Linked DNA regions of Saccharomyces cerevisiae S288C. Changing the gene in region 1 together with any one later gene gives a genetic interaction. Each region holds a gene or a part of one and is shown in the gene's direction. Other genes may lie near its edges.

Region 1 (3,469 bases):
TTTCTTGTAGGTTTTTCTAGCCAGTTTTACTATAAATTGTCACTTTTTCCTAGTAGTCAATTTGAAAAAAAAAAAAATATATGGGTAATTATAATAACAAGAAGTGTTCTTCTGATTGTCGGAGATGCCTCTAATGCCAATGCACAGGCTTCCATAAAGTTTTCAAGCATGACAGAAAGCTAACTTGTCTTTTACTTCTTTGTTGGGCACACTTCTCATTTTTAAAAAAAAGATTTCCACCTTCACGATCATATCTGAAATGAACTGAATATTTTGTTCTTGTGAGAATAAACTTGTCTACTAATCGCAAATTTTTCAAGATTAACCTTCCGCACCCATTGAGGTACTAAACTGATCTACCCTACCTTTCCTAAATACCTAATGTCAGGTACATAATGCCAGCGACAGCTCAAAATCACGGGATACTAATTATTAAATAGTAGTAGCTTCTTCTCCACGCACAGTTCGATCGAAGGAGCTAATATTCGGCTTGTCATCTTCCATGGCCAGTAATTTTTTTTATTGTCATTTGGGACTAATGAGATGGAAACTAGAATTGTAGTTATACATCCTGAGGTTTCTATCAACTTGTGTGTCACAACGTTTTATATACTTGAATGCGTAGTAGCAAACCCCGGCAAGACGTAAGTTAACTTGTCAAAGGTACAAGCTTGGTTACAAACAATGTGATATTTCGCTCCAGGATATTTTTGCTTTTGGTGACGCCGGTTGGTTGAAGAGCCCCCATTTATCATGACTCCTACCGCAGTTTTCGTATATCTTGGGCCATAAATTCGAAAATTAAAGACACCACTTAATAACGCAACAAAAAGAACGCAATCCTCAGAAAGAACACACACCAAAAAAAAAAAATGCCTGTTTATGAACACTTATTGCCCGTTAATGGAGCATGGAGACAAGACGTCACCAATTGGCTGAGCGAGGACGTTCCTTCTTTTGATTTTGGTGGATATGTTGTTGGTTCCGACCTAAAGGAGGCCAATTTGTACTGTAAGCAGGATGGTATGCTGTGTGGTGTCCCCTTTGCGCAAGAAGTCTTTAATCAGTGCGAATTGCAAGTTGAGTGGTTGTTTAAGGAAGGCTCCTTCTTGGAGCCTTCGAAGAATGACTCTGGTAAGATTGTTGTAGCTAAAATTACTGGGCCCGCTAAAAACATTCTATTAGCTGAAAGAACCGCCTTGAACATCCTTAGTAGAAGTAGTGGAATTGCCACCGCCTCACATAAGATAATCAGTTTGGCGCGTTCGACTGGTTACAAGGGGACCATTGCGGGGACAAGAAAGACTACACCAGGTTTACGTAGATTAGAAAAGTATTCCATGCTTGTAGGTGGCTGCGACACGCACAGATACGACCTTTCCTCTATGGTCATGCTCAAAGATAATCATATTTGGGCTACTGGTTCTATAACAAACGCAGTTAAGAACGCCAGGGCCGTGTGCGGGTTTGCTGTGAAGATCGAAGTGGAGTGTTTGAGTGAAGATGAAGCCACAGAGGCCATTGAAGCTGGTGCAGACGTTATCATGTTGGATAATTTCAAAGGTGACGGTTTGAAAATGTGCGCCCAAAGTCTTAAGAACAAATGGAATGGTAAAAAGCATTTCCTCTTGGAATGTAGTGGAGGCTTGAATTTGGACAACCTCGAGGAGTATTTGTGCGATGACATTGACATTTACAGCACTAGTAGCATTCATCAAGGCACACCAGTGATTGATTTCTCATTGAAACTGGCTCATTGAAAATGCTTAGGCTTCGATTTTTACTTTTTTTTATTTACATATTCTAAATAAGATTAAGAAGCTACGCGTTACCGATTAATGACACACACGACGATTAGTAACGAAATAAGAAATGAATAATGAGCACTCCCAGGAAGGCCGCCGGTAACAACGAGAATACAGAAGTCTCAGAGATCAGAACCCCCTTTCGGGAGAGAGCCCTTGAAGAACAACGTCTCAAGGATGAGGTACTGATCAGAAATACGCCAGGTTATAGAAAACTTTTATCTGCTTCTACTAAGTCTCATGACATCCTCAATAAAGATCCGAACGAAGTACGAAGTTTTTTACAAGACTTAAGCCAAGTGTTAGCACGCAAATCACAAGGCAACGATACAACTACTAATAAAACTCAAGCACGGAATCTAATAGATGAATTAGCGTACGAAGAGAGCCAACCAGAGGAGAATGAGCTTCTTCGGAGCAGAAGTGAGAAACTGACAGATAACAACATTGGCAATGAAACGCAACCTGATTATACTTCCTTATCGCAAACAGTATTTGCAAAATTGCAGGAAAGAGACAAAGGCTTGAAAAGTAGGAAGATTGACCCGATAATAATACAAGATGTTCCCACGACAGGACACGAGGATGAATTGACAGTGCACTCTCCAGATAAAGCTAACAGTATCTCTATGGAAGTTTTGCGCACGTCGCCAAGCATTGGAATGGATCAGGTAGATGAACCGCCAGTACGTGATCCGGTACCAATTTCCATAACGCAACAGGAAGAACCACTATCTGAAGATTTACCAAGCGACGATAAAGAGGAGACAGAAGAAGCAGAAAACGAAGATTATTCGTTTGAAAACACCAGTGACGAAAATTTGGATGATATAGGCAACGATCCTATCCGTTTAAATGTCCCTGCGGTGAGACGTTCTTCTATAAAACCGCTGCAAATAATGGATCTAAAACATCTTACAAGGCAATTTTTGAATGAGAATAGGATAATATTGCCGAAACAAACGTGGTCTACTATACAGGAGGAATCTTTAAATATAATGGATTTCTTGAAACAAAAAATCGGCACGTTACAAAAACAGGAATTGGTAGATTCGTTTATCGATATGGGTATTATCAATAACGTTGATGATATGTTTGAGCTCGCGCACGAATTGCTTCCCTTAGAACTTCAATCAAGAATTGAAAGTTATTTGTTCTAAAAAAGATACCGTAGAGAAAATAATTAAATAGTGGCAATTTATGTACAGAAAAGAGTAAAAGATCCACAAAATTATCAAGACCTGGAAGAGAAGCCTAGTAACAAACTAACCTGTTCATAAACAGTGAACGTTAAGCCTCCTGAAATACCGACTTTCATAAACCTAAAGATGGAGCCCTTCCAGAATGTGGCCATGCCTTCTTGAACAAATATTCTATACATGCAATTTAAGGTATTTTTATATTCAGTTTTGGCATTTTGACTCATCATCCTTGTTTTTACGACGTCAATGGGCTGAGTCATTGCCACGAGTGTAAAAGATGTGGCTAACCCCGTTATTACTGAGGATGCCTTGTCGTTTCTTGCTTGTAACAACCGTTTAAATGCTGTGTATGCAGTAAATTGAATAGAGGTGTTAGCTATCTGCCTAAATATGGTGGCTGTTGTTCCCTGGACGAACGCAGCAGGGCCTCTTGTTTGATACATGTGTTTTACCGCTGGAAGT
Region 2 (6,472 bases), on another chromosome or scaffold:
GCCTGAAATGCGTTGAATTCGTTCCTTTTCCTCCTCTTCAGTTTCCTCTGCACGTTGTCTTGTACCCACACTTGGCCAAGAAAACCCATCTCTCTCGACAGGAGGGTTTAAAGTGTATGGAGAGGTAGGTCTAATGTTTAACGGGGTTTCATGTCTTTCTATCTCTTGCACTAATTGGATGTTATGCATTTTGGGATGATTGAAAGTATTGGTTCTAACAAAAAATGAGTCACGCACGCACAATCACGATTGAGGATGGAGTCGTATAATATTTTATGAACGGATGCTATATCGATCAGACGGTTGGCACCGTAAAAATAAATGAAAGAAGTTAAAGAAGGGCAAATCAGTCGGATTATGTGATAAGTATGTAATAGACATGTTTGAAAATTAGGAGCATTAAAATATGCTTTTCATCCTACAGTTGTTCGGTCTTTTTTCTTTTCGGTGAGCGACACAGCTTTTCTACTAAGGCCGTACCGGGTCATCCAAATCCTAAATTTTCATGCGCTAATAGCGTTGAGGCTGGGTGATAATTCTGCCTACACCATGACAAAGAGGACATATATCTTCGTCCAACAGGAATCTGGTGCGTCCGGACCCTCTGCATTCACCACATAGCACGCCACCCAGGCGAGGATCCCCTGGTTGAACGTACAAGGGCCTATTACCCTGCCATGCGTTGGTGTACACGGGCATTGTATAGTTTGTGTAATATGTCGGTGCAGAAACAACGTTATTTTGAGGTGCAAACCTCCTCCAACACGACTTGCAAGATCGTCCATTCTTCAACTTGTAACCCGTATTTCCACACTTGGAACAGTAAAACCTGGGAGGGTATGTCCAGGGCAAGCTAGGATTCTGTTGTGGCCTCGGTGGAGGCCGTGGTTGGGAACTTGTAGGCGTATAAGAGTGTGAGTGAGCATATGTTTGGGATGAGGACGTTGCTGGCATTGTCGAGGGCCTTTGGTGGGGTCTTGATTGGTGCCCTTGCGCCAAGTTAGCTGCTGGTCTTGGTGGTCGTGGCGGTTGAGATTGCAATCTCTCCTCTTCCTTGATTACGTCCTCGTAGCTCGGCAGTTCATCATCATGCGTGTCTTTAGACATAACAGTATGGTTTATACTCGTTTTATGGGTATTTTTTGGGACTGCTTAGTTCTTGACTTGAAGCCTCTTTATTCCCTTGATGGAAGTGTCACTATTAAAGATGGAGGCGGAGGCTATACCGTAGAAAATGATATGTTTGTATGTTCTGCTCTCTTCCCTCTATTAAAAGGGGGAAAGAGAAAAATAAATGGAAAAAAGCGATTAAGCCATAGGGAAAACACTCTTGTGGTGGCAAAGCATCAGATAGGCAGGCAGGAGGAAATGGCAGTGAAGTGTCAAACCAAGCATACTTTCACTGGATTGATTTGAAAGTTAATGCTGAGTTTGAGATGTTTTAAAGAGGAACTGTGGTGATCGGTTATTTCTATTCGCTTTTGTGTGCGTCTTTTCATCGTTTGCAGCTGAACTTGTTGAGGCATTAGCCGCTGAGGAATTTTTTTCTGCCTCTATAAACTTGTTTATTATCACTAAAAACGTACCGTCTGTTATTTTGTACGGCCATGTGTGCGAAAAAGGACAAAGTGGTAGCGAAAGAGCAATATTGGGACGAAAAGGAGCAGAAAAGGAACTGCGTAGGGTCTTAAATAAAGCAAAACGTCTGAAGGATCTTGCGTACTCCTTACTAACCCATTGTTGTTTTCGACAGTCATAAAAAGAAGTTACCACGGTCTATTTCTCTCTTCTCGCTATTTATTCACAATTGGTGCAGAAAGAACATGGCACGAAATTTAAGGAATAGACGCGGTAGCGACGTTGAAGATGCAAGCAACGCAAAGGTTGGGTATGAAACACAGATTAAAGACGAAAATGGCATAATCCATACAACAACTCGCTCTTTGAGAAAAATAAACTACGCAGAAATTGAGAAAGTGTTTGATTTTTTGGAAGATGACCAGGTCATGGACAAAGATGAGACGCCCGTTGATGTTACTAGTGATGAACATCATAACAACAACCAGAAAGGCGATGATGAAGACGATGATGTTGATCTTGTATCACCGCACGAAAACGCCAGAACGAACGAAGAGCTTACTAATGAAAGGAACTTGAGAAAAAGAAAAGCGCATGATCCAGAAGAAGATGACGAAAGTTTTCATGAGGAAGATGTCGACGATGATGAAGAGGAGGAAGAAGCAGACGAATTTGAAGATGAGTATTTGGATGAAGACTCGAAGGATAACAACCGTCGGCGCAGAGCGGCCGATAGGAAATTTGTAGTACCAGACCCTGATGACGATGAAGAATACGATGAGGATGACGAAGAAGGAGACAGAATAAGCCATTCGGCTTCTTCTAAACGTTTGAAAAGGGCAAATTCTCGAAGAACAAGATCGTCACGTCACCCAGAAACTCCACCACCGGTAAGAAGAGCTTTAAGAAGTAGGACAAGACATTCGCGTACTTCAAATGAAGAAAATGACGATGAGAATGATAATAGCAGGAATGAAGCGTTAACTTTAGCTGATGAAATTAGAGAGTTACAGGAAGATAGTCCTATCAGGGAAAAAAGATTTCTTCGCGAAAGAACTAAGCCGGTAAATTACAAATTACCACCACCACTAACTGCTAGCAACGCAGAAGAATTTATAGATAAGAATAACAATGCACTTTCTTTTCATAACCCATCACCTGCACGGCGTGGTCGCGGTGGTTGGAATGCTAGTCAAAATTCTGGTCCCACAAGAAGGCTTTTTCCCACTGGTGGACCTTTTGGTGGCAATGACGTAACTACAATATTTGGTAAGAATACTAATTTTTACAACCAAGTCCCATCTGCATTCAGTGATAATAACAACAATAAATTAATACTGGATTCAGACTCTTCCGATGATGAGATATTACCTCTTGGCGTGACACCGAAAACAAAGAAAGAGAACACGCAAAAAAAGAAGAAGAAAAAACCAGAAATTGCAGACCTCGATCCATTAGGCGTAGACATGAATGTAAATTTTGACGATATAGGTGGTTTAGACAACTACATTGACCAATTAAAGGAAATGGTGGCCTTACCACTATTATACCCAGAATTGTATCAAAATTTTAATATCACGCCCCCAAGGGGTGTTCTTTTCCATGGTCCTCCTGGTACGGGTAAAACACTTATGGCAAGAGCGTTAGCAGCAAGTTGTTCTTCTGATGAAAGGAAGATCACATTTTTTATGCGTAAAGGTGCAGATATTTTATCCAAGTGGGTTGGTGAAGCTGAAAGACAACTCCGTTTGTTATTCGAAGAAGCTAAAAAACATCAACCTTCCATCATTTTTTTTGATGAAATCGACGGATTAGCGCCTGTGAGAAGTTCCAAACAAGAACAGATCCATGCTAGTATTGTTTCCACATTATTAGCGCTGATGGATGGTATGGACAATAGAGGCCAAGTCATTGTCATCGGAGCCACAAATCGACCCGATGCAGTGGATCCCGCATTAAGAAGGCCGGGAAGATTTGATAGAGAATTTTATTTTCCATTACCTGATGTTAAAGCACGTTTTAAAATTTTGCAAATTCAGACCAGGAAATGGAGTTCACCGTTGTCAACCAACTTCATTGATAAATTGGCTTTTTTGACCAAAGGATATGGTGGTGCTGATCTGAGGTCCCTATGCACTGAGGCTGCACTAATAAGTATACAAAGAAGCTTTCCTCAAATTTATAGGTCAAATGATAAACTCTTGGTGGACCCTTCTAAGATTAAAGTCAAAGTTAGCGATTTCATGTTAGCTTTGAAAAAAATTGTTCCGTCATCTGCGAGATCTACTGGTAGTTCTCCTCAGCCACTACCTGAATTAATCAAACCATTACTGGCAGATCAACTTAATAATTTAAAGAACAAGCTGGATTATATGCTGAACATTAAAGACACAACTTTTCAGAGAAACACATCATTGCTACAAAATTTCATCGATTATGAAGAATACAGTGGAGAGGAAGAAGAGCATGACAAATATGGAGGAAATGAAGATACATCCAGTTTTAGATCATATGAGTTTTTCGAATCGATGGCGGAATCACAAATTTGTAAACCTCGGTTATTAATAAATGGGCCCAAGGGAAATGGTCAACAATATGTCGGAGCCGCAATTTTAAATTATTTAGAAGAATTCAACGTCCAAAACCTGGACCTTGCCTCTTTGGTTTCGGAAAGTTCTAGGACTATTGAAGCTGCTGTAGTGCAAAGTTTTATGGAAGCAAAGAAAAGACAGCCCTCAGTTGTATTTATTCCTAATTTAGACATTTGGATCAACACTATTCCAGAAAACGTTATTTTAGTCTTATCAGGTTTGTTCAGATCTTTACAAAGCAATGAAAAAATTCTTCTATTATGCTTAGCTGAAAATCTTGATATATCTGAAGTTAAAAATGGTATTTTATCTGATTTTGCTTTTGATAAAAATATCTTTCAACTGCATAAACCATCCAAAGAGAATATAACGAGGTATTTTTCTAATTTAATTGAACTACTGAAAACAAAGCCAAGTGATATTCCCATGAAAAAGAGAAGAGTCAAACCGTTACCTGAATTACAAAAAGTAACTTCAAACGCAGCTCCAACAAATTTTGATGAAAATGGTGAGCCACTGTCTGAAAAAGTGGTATTAAGAAGGAAGTTGAAATCTTTTCAACACCAAGATATGAGATTGAAAAATGTGTTAAAAATCAAACTCTCAGGCTTGATGGATCTTTTTAAAAACAGATATAAAAGGTTTAGAAAACCACCTATTGATGATGCCTTCTTGGTTCATCTTTTCGAACCAGAGACAAGCAATGATCCCAATTGGCAACCTGCATATATAAAAGATGAGAACATGATTCTGGAGGTTTCAACAGGGCGAAAGTTTTTTAACATGGATTTGGATATTGTCGAAGAGAGACTTTGGAATGGCTATTACTCAGAACCAAAACAGTTTTTAAAAGACATTGAACTGATATACAGGGATGCAAATACCATTGGGGACAGAGAACGTGTCATTAAGGCCTCTGAGATGTTTGCCAACGCGCAAATGGGTATCGAAGAAATTTCAACCCCGGATTTTATTCAAGAGTGTAAAGCTACTCGCCAAAGGGATTTGGAAAGGCAGGAACTTTTCTTAGAAGATGAAGAGAAAAGAGCTGCAATGGAATTAGAAGCCAAAGAACAGAGTCAAGAAAATATACTGCAAGAACCTGATTTAAAGGATAACAAGGCTAATGAGTTTGGTGTAGCTGCTGGTAATCAATTGCAAGCTCAGCTGCAAACAACTATCAATACAGCCTCTATCGTTAATAACAGCGAGGTCCCTCAACCAATTGATACCAACCTGTATAAAAAGGAGATTCCTGCGGCAATTCCCTCTGCAGTAGATAAAGAAAAAGCGGTCATCCCTGAGGATAGCGGTGCAAATGAAGAATACACAACGGAACTGATACAGGCCACTTGCACGTCAGAGATAACCACCGATGATGATGAAAGGGCCAGAAAAGAACCAAAAGAGAATGAAGACTCTTTGCAAACGCAGGTTACGGAAGAAAACTTCAGCAAAATAGACGCTAATACTAATAATATAAATCACGTAAAGGAAATTCAATCGGTTAACAAACCAAATTCCCTCCACGAAACGGTAGAAAAAAGGGAACGAAGTCCGATACCAAAAGAGGTTGTGGAACCGGAGCAAGGGAAGAAGAGCGACAAGGAGCTTATTTTGACGCCCGAACAAATAAAAAAAGTATCTGCATGCTTAATCGAACACTGTCAGAATTTTACGGTTTCTCAATTAGAAGATGTTCATTCGTCCGTTGCAAAAATAATATGGAAAAGTAAATCAGCATGGGATAAAACAGGAACTGTCGATGAAATAATAAAATTTTTATCTGAATAAGCAGGAGTCCATAATGTTTATATAATTCTTAAATGTAGTTAGTTCATATACATGAATGTGCACTTTTCTTGAAAAGAAATAGATTTAAAACCACACCTTGTATATATATTATGCTTTTTTCCACTACTTTATTTTAACAGTCACTGTTCTGGCATACGTTTCGGGTAATGACCGAGAATGGAATATGTATTGAACATATTGAAATTAAACATGTTCATAATATCTTCTAACACCATTGGAATTGTGAGAAGTAGATCCGTACCATCAATAGCCGGCTCAAGATGTCAACTGAATACTCTGCTGATTCATCTAAATCATTTATGATTGCAATGCAATCTATGATTGATACTTCACAAACCTTTAATCTAGATAGATCGAAAATCTCTTTACCAGATTTTGATGACGAGCTAAAAAAAGTCCAAAAGGATGAACAAAATCAAAGAACTGAACTAACTGTTCTCTCACAAGATAGAAATGATTGGGATGATATATTTGAGGAGTTTAAAGAC
Region 3 (5,483 bases), on another chromosome or scaffold:
TATCAGGCACTGGGGCGGCTGAAGTGACACCTAAATCTTGTAAAGACTTGACGGTCTCAGTCTTAGTTAACTTAAGTTGATTTGCACGAGAGTTGGTTTTTGAGGGGACATACTGTTGAGGTTGTTGGCCCTCAACGTCCACCATGGAAGTGTTTTGTGAGTTGAATGAAACAACAGATTCTTGATCACTCATATTTGTTTTGTGTATTATTTTTGTGATTAGTTATTAGATGGAATTAAAGGAAAAATATCAATGGACAAAAAATATTAGGGTGTAGAAATAAAGAATAATAGCAGGGCTTTGATAAAAGAATGTATCAATTACTTTTTGAAATTAAAGTTAAAATTAAAATTCAAACCGAAAAAAAAAAAAAATTAAATATTAAACTTGATATAGTAGGAGAAGGAAGTTGTATATTGTTCTCTATAAACACAAACAATAAAATGATATATTTGTTTTCTTATTTCTTCTTGATGTCTTCAGGAAAAAAGAACATAAACAAATACAAAAAAATCCTAGTACGAAACCTCAAAAGGGTGTATGCGCAATGTATATATATAGCAAGAAAAAAAAATAAACAGTGGCATTACAGTGCATGCGGATGGCAGTGTTCTTCGGTGGCTTTTTCGAAAAACCTAGAATGCGTTTAAAAGACTCAGACACCTAAGCAGAATATGCGAATGACTCGTTCAGTAAAATGCGACGCGACAGTTTGTTTTCGTTCTGCGCTGCTGTGTTCTCTATTCTTTTGAGATGAATTTAACGGCTATGGAATCATCTCGAGAAATCGGTTCTAGTAAGGCACCAAGACATTATGTCCCTCGGGAGGAGAAGGGCGCACGCGTCAGGCTTCCACGACGTCCGCCGTGCATGCGCTCTCGCATTTTTAAGGTTTAGTGCGGCAGGCGACTGCGCTGCGGCCAGCCCGTGAGACCACCCGAGGGAATTTGAGTAAGCGCGCCCATTGCGGGGTTTTTGCGGTTTGCGCTGTTTTCCGCACGAGGTTTCTCCGGACACAGTTAAGCAGTATATTTCACTCGGAAGCGCCGGAAAATTTTTTTAAGCGCAAATATATTCAGGTAAGCAGCAAAAAAATACTTTTTCCGGTGGCCCGTGATGTGTTTGTAACAGCTTCTGCGGTACTTTGGGCGGCTAAATGGCAAATAGATCAGGGGAAGGGTTTTTGCATAGGTACAAAATAACCGGATTTTGGGTAAGATTCGATCTTCGGCACTTGTGGCGAAGTAAAAGTGTTGAAAAAGTTCGCGTAATAATAGTGTTAGCCGTTTCAGCTTCGTCCATAAAGTACATATCCACAACTCTCATGGTGCGAAGTACAAACATTGAACGGCAGCTGTCTTGCTCAGCTAGTGGTATGTAAGCAGCCGCATTCTATTTTTATTTTCGTGCCTTTAAGTGTTAAAACCTGAGGCAGATTTTTTATTTTTTTGCATTCCCCTTCCTTTTTGCCGTAATGGCGCATTCAGTGCTGATATATTTATACTTCAATGGTGCTTCTCCTTACTTTTCTTATAGAAATAAACATCAAAACATGAACCTCAAATTCATCCGAAAATGACTGCGGCCACTCACCTTGCTTCTTCCCCACAAATATTTGTGTTCTCTGCTTTCTTTGTGTGTACTTTGTCTTGCTCTATATAACTTTCTCTCTGCTGCTGAGTCTTCAAATAGGTAGATTGATGCCTGTGGACTTTTATACAAAGGAGTTTGAGTGATTACATTCAAGATAAACGTGAAAAGTTATTATTATATCTTATGCTAAACAACAGTGTAATTGCGTTTGTTAAGCACAATCTCAAAATAATGCGCTAACAGTGGTGCGCATACTGCCATTTGTTATGGGCTATAATCGGATAGTGTATTCTTCTTGTTTGGTTATGTATCTCAACATCCAGGTATCCGTTACCCCACTTTGATACCAGGAACCTTTCGCGTTTTCTCTCGCTTTTATTTTTTTACCGCATACAAACAAACAAGAAAAAGTAGAAAACATATGAGATCATCGATTTTGTTTCTACTAAAATTGATGAAAATTATGGATGTTCAGCAACAGCAAGAAGCTATGTCATCAGAAGATAGGTTTCAGGAACTGGTGGACTCCCTAAAGCCAAGAACTGCGCATCAGTACAAGACCTACTATACTAAGTACATACAATGGTGTCAGCTCAATCAAATTATACCGACACCGGAGGACAATTCTGTAAATAGCGTCCCCTATAAAGACCTGCCAATATCTGCTGAACTGATACATTGGTTTTTGTTAGATACATTAATAACCGATGATAAGCCTGGAGAGAAAAGAGAAGAGACTGAAGATCTTGATGAGGAGGAGGAGAATTCATTCAAGATCGCTACGTTGAAGAAAATTATAGGCAGTCTCAATTTTTTGTCAAAATTGTGCAAAGTTCATGAAAATCCAAATGCTAATATAGACACAAAATACCTGGAGTCAGTCACCAAGCTTCATACCCATTGGATAGATTCACAAAAGGCAATCACCACTAATGAAACAAATAACACAAATACTCAAGTGCTGTGTCCACCATTATTGAAAGTGTCTTTGAATTTATGGAACCCAGAAACTAACCATCTCTCTGAGAAATTTTTTAAAACCTGTTCTGAAAAATTAAGATTCCTGGTGGATTTTCAATTAAGAAGTTATTTGAACCTTTCATTTGAAGAAAGATCAAAGATACGATTTGGTTCCCTCAAGCTCGGTAAAAGGGACAGAGACGCTATAATTTATCATAAAGTAACTCATTCGGCGGAAAAAAAAGATACGCCGGGCCACCATCAACTCCTTGCATTATTACCCCAAGATTGTCCATTTATCTGCCCTCAAACTACATTAGCTGCATATTTGTATTTAAGGTTCTATGGTATACCATCTGTTTCGAAAGGGGATGGCTTTCCCAATTTGAACGCTGATGAAAATGGCTCACTTTTACAAGATATTCCCATACTAAGAGGCAAATCACTGACAACTTATCCCAGAGAGGAAACATTTAGTAATTATTATACAACCGTGTTTAGGTATTGCCACTTACCTTATAAAAGAAGAGAATATTTCAACAAATGTAACCTTGTTTACCCAACTTGGGATGAAGACACTTTTAGAACATTTTTCAATGAAGAAAACCATGGAAATTGGTTAGAACAACCTGAGGCCTTTGCGTTCCCTGACAAAATACCGTTCGACTTCAAGAAAATCATGAACTTCAAATCGCCCTACACTTCGTATTCTACAAACGCTAAAAAGGACCCTTTTCCGCCTCCAAAGGATTTATTAGTTCAAATATTTCCGGAGATTGATGAATATAAAAGACATGATTATGAAGGTTTGTCTCAGAATTCAAGGGATTTTCTAGATTTAATGGAAGTTTTACGAGAAAGATTTTTGAGCAATCTACCATGGATTTACAAATTCTTTCCTAATCATGATATATTCCAGGACCCCATTTTTGGAAATTCCGATTTTCAATCATACTTCAATGACAAAACTATACATTCAAAGGGTTCACCCATTTTATCATTCGATATACTACCAGGCTTTAATAAAATCTATAAGAATAAGACAAATTTTTACTCACTCTTAATAGAAAGGCCTTCGCAGTTGACATTTGCTTCGAGTCATAATCCAGATACACACCCCACTCAAAAACAAGAATCTGAGGGGCCATTACAAATGAGTCAACTTGATACTACACAATTAAATGAATTATTGAAGCAACAGAGTTTCGAATATGTGCAGTTCCAAACACTTTCTAATTTCCAAATTTTATTATCGGTATTCAATAAAATTTTTGAGAAATTGGAGATGAAAAAATCTTCAAGAGGCTATATTTTACATCAGCTTAATTTATTCAAAATTACCTTGGATGAAAGAATTAAGAAATCTAAGATTGACGATGCCGATAAATTTATACGTGATAATCAGCCCATTAAAAAAGAAGAAAACATTGTGAATGAAGATGGGCCTAACACATCAAGGCGGACAAAGAGGCCGAAGCAAATTAGATTACTCTCAATTGCGGATTCCTCCGACGAATCCTCCACGGAGGATTCAAATGTATTCAAAAAGGACGGTGAATCCATCGAAGATGGCGCATATGGAGAAAATGAAGATGAGAATGACTCTGAGATGCAAGAGCAGTTAAAATCTATGATAAACGAACTTATAAACTCCAAAATAAGCACTTTTTTACGGGACCAAATGGATCAATTTGAATTGAAAATAAACGCTTTATTAGATAAAATTCTTGAAGAAAAAGTCACTCGTATTATCGAGCAAAAACTTGGTTCACACACGGGGAAGTTTTCAACGTTGAAGAGGCCACAACTATACATGACGGAAGAACACAATGTTGGATTTGATATGGAAGTTCCTAAAAAACTTAGGACCAGTGGTAAGTACGCAGAGACTGTGAAAGATAATGATGATCATCAAGCCATGTCAACTACTGCATCGCCGTCTCCTGAGCAAGATCAAGAAGCAAAGAGCTATACTGACGAACAAGAATTTATGCTGGACAAATCCATAGACAGCATAGAGGGAATCATTCTTGAATGGTTCACCCCAAACGCTAAGTACGCCAACCAATGCGTGCATTCAATGAACAAATCAGGTAACAAGTCGTGGAGAGCTAATTGTGAAGCTTTATACAAGGAAAGAAAATCAATTGTTGAATTCTATATTTATTTGGTAAATCATGAGAGTCTCGACAGATACAAAGCAGTTGATATTTGCGAAAAATTACGAGATCAGAACGAAGGTTCATTTTCGCGCTTGGCAAAGTTCCTAAGGAAGTGGAGGCATGACCATCAAAATTCATTTGATGGTCTGTTAGTATATCTATCTAACTGAGGGAGCTTCGAAGTTTAAACTGTTTCGTATAGGGATACCGACATGTATGTTTATAATATAATGATGTTTACTATGAGAAAAAGGCTGCCGGAATATCAACGGTTGCTGTGGTGAGAAAATCGGGTAACACCTATAGGGGTTCCATCACTTCAGATGCCTTGAACTTTGAAATCTATACGAATATAGGAAGACTGAGTTGGTAGACCTGGTAAGATAGAAGAGGAAGAAGGCTTCTTTATTACCGCAACTAAGAATAAACTTATAGCTTCATGCGAATCTCAAAAAATAGTCATAAGCGGCAAAGAACGAGGCTATATTTCCTCGTTACATTTATTATTTATTCGATAATACCCTGCCGTGCGGTACTCGTGCCTTGGCTGGATGATGACCCATTTGAAGCAACGCTTCTAGAAATGGGGGATGAACCATGGAGTAAGGACATCCTTTCAAGCACACCTCCGTTACATCCATCTGAAGTTACCGAGGATAACAAAAGCTTAAAACAAAGGGGCAATGTACCGCAATATGTCATCGATAATAGCCCTCTGCTCCATTTATATAGTGAAGAAAAGTACTGGCCAGCTGATGTTAAGGATT
Region 4 (4,031 bases), on another chromosome or scaffold:
AGCAAGATGAGGGTGATAAGGCCTCTTCAAAGCCAATCGCTTGTCAGTATTTCTGTCTCTAATCACGTTGACATAATCTAAAACGTTTCTTCGTTGTACATCCGTCAAAGCCCGTGCCCGTTTGTCGCTTACCCAACAATGAGCACCACGTCTACCTGAAAATACCCAGATGAAGTCCTTATAACCAAAATCCTCTCTTAGGGCCGTGTTCGTAATTTTCATTGCCAAAGATATAAATTTCCAGCACTTAGAGCAAACTTGGGCTCCGGAGCAACACGTTCTGAAGGCATCGTAATCATCCATATCAATATCAAACACCAACTCCTTCTCTAAAGCTTTCAATTCGCTTTTTAATAGAGTATCACGTTCTCTTGGCGGTTTGTTATATATGGCACCGATTTCAAATCTGTCTGGGTTGGCTTTTTCTATTTGTGCTTTGAAATCTTGCACAGAGTTAAAAGAATTATACCTTTTGTAAGCACCTGACCTGAACGCCATAGCGAATTCTCTGTTAATCATATCCCTAGAAGGTTTGGGCGAATGATTCAGCCAGTTGAAAATGTGTTTGAATGGATAGAGCGACTTATAGTAGTACTCCATGTCTGAGGAGCTTGGCCCATTAGTCTTTACTGAATTGGTCATGATGTTTATAAAACAGTTTTTTGAGTTGCTAAAACTAATTTTTGCTAGTATTATGGCACGCTTTTCTCTTCAGCTTCAAAGTATTTTTGATTAATTTTTTATCTTTTTGGCGTTATGAAACTTTTCAACTGAAAGAAAACAATAGGTAAAAGTGGCAAAGGGCACTGACCGAGCAACTGTTTCGAAACTCACGCATCATTCACACGTAGGATATAGTAATGGTTGAACCAGCAAGGAAAAAGCAGAGGATTGATCGCGATACTCATCACACTGTGGCTGAACCAGTAACGGAAGCTAAAAATACGCTGTACGTGAGCCAGCTTAATGAAAAAATTAATATGCAACGACTGCGAGTAAACCTTTTTTTGCTCTTTGCTACGTTTGGAGAGGTACTGAAGGTTAGCATGAATTTCAAGAAACAGCGGGGCCAAGCCTTTATCACCATGAGAACCATCGACCAGGCCAGTCTGGCCCAGATTTCATTAAACGGCGAGCGATTCTTTGGTAAGCCTTTGAAAGTTGAGTTCAGCAAGAGTGAAACTAAAACACTATGACTGGCTTAACGCTCTATTCATAGCAGCACGTATATACCGAGAAGAGCTGCCATAGGGGCACATCAAAGTCAAGAGCGCAGAACCAAACCAAAATGTTTATATCCAAACAACCCGGCGTTATAGATGGTCGTCAACGGACAAATAATATCAAGGCATGTATCAATATGGAGTAGATATAGAATCTACAAAAATCTGTAGCAGAAAGAGTCTCCCGAAAAGACATACTGCAGAACGGCCGCTTATTCCTCACTTCAATTGCTTAAATAATACAAAGGGCAAACCACAGAGTACCCCATTGCCAAAAGACGTTTATTACATTTTGGAAGTGATAATTTAGTATATAAGACAGCTTACTATATGATGAATTACAGTGTAGTTCAGCGTTTATATGTGGCTTCGTTTAAAATGATATATATTTCTAGTAAAAGCAAAAATTCACAAATGATAAACAAATCAAAATAAACATCAAAAGAACCGCCAATTGATAAAAGCACAAAGTACCAGGCAGAGTTGTGAAACCGGGCCTCTTCTATTGTACCACACACAAATTTTTCTTTATTTAGGTAGAGGATGAGTCTGGAACCCACACAAACGGTCTCCGGTACGCCGCCGATGCTGCATCAAAGAACACACAAACAAGTATACCCATTGCGGATGGAAACTATCCCAATATTGGAATCCGACTCCAAGGCTACTCTACAAAGCAACGAGCCCACCCAGAAAGATGAGGAGGAGACCGAATATTTTGAGAATAAACAATCCGTGTCGAATTTGAGCCCCGATTTGAAATTCAAACGACACAAGAATAAACATATCCAGGGGTTCCCTACTCTGGGCGAAAGGCTGGATAACCTGCAAGATATAAAAAAGGCCAAGAGAGTGGAGAATTTCAATTCTTCTGCGCCAATTGCTGACGACAATCATAGTGGAGATGCGACTGCAAATGCGACTGCAAATGCGACTGCAAATGCGACTGCGAATGTTAATGCAAGTGCAATGCCCGCTCCATATATGCCTTATTACTATTACTACCATCCGATGAATGCACCAACTCCTGCAATGATACCATATCCTGGATCACCAATGCATTCGATTATGCCCAACTCCTCATTACAGCCCTTTTATTCGCAACCCACTGCTGCAGGCGGTCCCGATATGACTACTCCCCAAAATATATCTTCATCACAACAATTGCTGCCAGCTCCGCAATTGTTTCCGTACGGATCATTCCATCAACAACAACTTCAGCAACCACACTACATTCAACGAACAAGGGAAAGGAAAAAATCAATCGGAAGTCAGAGAGGTAGAAGATTGTCTATGTTAGCATCTCAAGCTAATGGGGGAAGCACTATTATATCTCCGCACAAGGATATTCCTGAAGAGGATTTTTACACCGTGGTTGGAAATGCGTCTTTTGGTAAAAATTTACAAATACGACAGCTTTTCAACTGGTGTTTAATGAGATCTCTGCATAAATTGGAGTTGAAGGCTAAAAACCAAGAGGAAGAAGGGGAACTTGAACATCTGACCAAAAAATCCAAGCTCGAATCAACAAAGGCAGAAACTGATTATGTGGATCCCAAACGTCTGGCTATGGTGATAATAAAAGAGTTTGTCGATGATCTTAAAAAAGATCATATTGCGATAGATTGGGAAGATGAGGAAAAATATGAGGATGAAGATGAGGAGAAGATTCTGGATAATACTGAAAACTACGATGACACGGAACTGCGACAACTGTTTCAGGAAAACGACGACGACGACGACGACGACGATGAGGTGGACTACTCGGAAATACAGAGGTCTAGACGTAAATTTAGTGAAAGGAGAAAAGCCCTACCGAAAGAACCAAAAAAACTATTACCTAATAGCAAAAACGTGGAAAACACAAAGAATCTTAGCATTTTAACGAGCAAGGTGAACGCGATCAAAAATGAAGTGAAAGAATGGGCAGTCACTTTAGACACTTCGAGACCAGATCTTGAATGGCAAGAATTGACTTCATTCTCATCACAACCACTGGAACCGTTGTCGGATACAGAAGAGCCAGACCTTGCGATTGCAGATGTTGAGACAAAGTTAGAAACAAAAGTCGATGAGCTAAGGTACCAGTCGCATATATTAAACTCGCACTCACTAGCCTTAAACGAAATAACAAATTCAAAAGTGAATAAATTGAACATAGAAACAATGAGAAAGATCTCAAGCGAAACGGACGATGACCACTCACAAGTGATTAATCCTCAACAGCTGTTGAAGGGATTAAGTTTATCTTTCAGTAAAAAACTGGATTTATGAAATAAAAGAAAAAATCAAAAAAAAATCGGATACTTCTGCATATGTAACATTACACAGTCATACATTTATATATACATATATATACATATTAATGTATTTGAAAAAGCAAAAGAACCATTCTATCCTTAGTTAAAGGGCGAATCAGTAGCAGCGCTACCACTATTGTTATTGTTTTCGTTTGCTGTCATGGTATCGTGGTGGTAAATAATACTTTCTTGAAGTGATAATGTTGATGACGATGCTGCTGAAGGGCTACCCATATCTAAAGATTTGAACAGCTGGAGTGGGCGTTCCAATAACCCATTTGAATGTTCATTGTATACCTGTAATCTTGTCATATGACTTTTCCAGACGGAGCTATTATCTGCTAATAAAATTATCCTGTCACGGGCAACATGTTCAATAAGCGTACACCATACGTGAGACAATTGTTCAATGCATTTATCGTAGTAGTAATTATTACTAGCTAATTCAAATCTGGGCAATTTGATAACTAATTCCGTGCAAATGTCTAAGAATTTTAATGATGCGTGC

Evidence for each region.
Region 2: mutations in CNN1 (region 1) and YTA7 impair growth when combined (synthetic growth defect), as found in Saccharomyces cerevisiae (one study listed by BioGRID).
Region 3: mutations in CNN1 (region 1) and CBF2 impair growth when combined (synthetic growth defect), as found in Saccharomyces cerevisiae (2 studies listed by BioGRID, with this or other methods).
Region 4: mutations in CNN1 (region 1) and DSN1 together harm fitness more than expected from each alone (negative genetic interaction), as found in Saccharomyces cerevisiae (3 studies listed by BioGRID, with this or other methods).

Annotation. Positions count from the first base shown.
Region 1 is NC_001138.5:242,570-246,038, reverse strand, and holds CNN1 (centromere-binding protein CNN1), read left to right. Parts: upstream 1-1,879; coding exon 1,880-2,965; downstream 2,966-3,469. Other genes in the region: BNA6 (nicotinate-nucleotide diphosphorylase (carboxylating)), read left to right, coding at 873-1,760; MRX20 (Mrx20p), read right to left, coding at 3,040-3,469. UniProt on the Saccharomyces cerevisiae protein: Component of the kinetochore, a multiprotein complex that assembles on centromeric DNA and attaches chromosomes to spindle microtubules, mediating chromosome segregation and sister chromatid segregation during meiosis and mitosis.
Region 2 is NC_001139.9:1,025,547-1,032,018, forward strand, and holds YTA7 (chromatin segregase YTA7), read left to right. Parts: upstream 1-1,823; coding exon 1,824-5,963; downstream 5,964-6,472. Other genes in the region: FOL2 (GTP cyclohydrolase I), read right to left, coding at 1-189; HUA1 (Hua1p), read right to left, coding at 511-1,107; SLH1 (RNA helicase), read left to right, coding at 6,245-6,472. UniProt on the Saccharomyces cerevisiae protein: Functions as an ATP-dependent nucleosome disassembly factor that helps evict canonical histone H3 from the 5'-end of genes upon their induction.
Region 3 is NC_001139.9:765,414-770,896, forward strand, and holds CBF2 (Cbf2p), read left to right. Parts: upstream 1-2,015; coding exon 2,016-4,886; downstream 4,887-5,483. Other genes in the region: TPO2 (spermine transporter), read right to left, coding at 1-193; VPS62 (Vps62p), read left to right, coding at 5,156-5,483.
Region 4 is NC_001141.2:373,665-377,695, forward strand, and holds DSN1 (MIND complex subunit DSN1), read left to right. Parts: upstream 1-1,766; coding exon 1,767-3,497; downstream 3,498-4,031. Other genes in the region: DNA primase subunit PRI1, read right to left, coding at 1-642; U2 snRNP complex subunit MSL1, read left to right, coding at 861-1,196; STS1 (Sts1p), read right to left, coding at 3,623-4,031. UniProt on the Saccharomyces cerevisiae protein: Acts as an essential component of the kinetochore MIND complex, which is required for the spindle checkpoint and kinetochore integrity.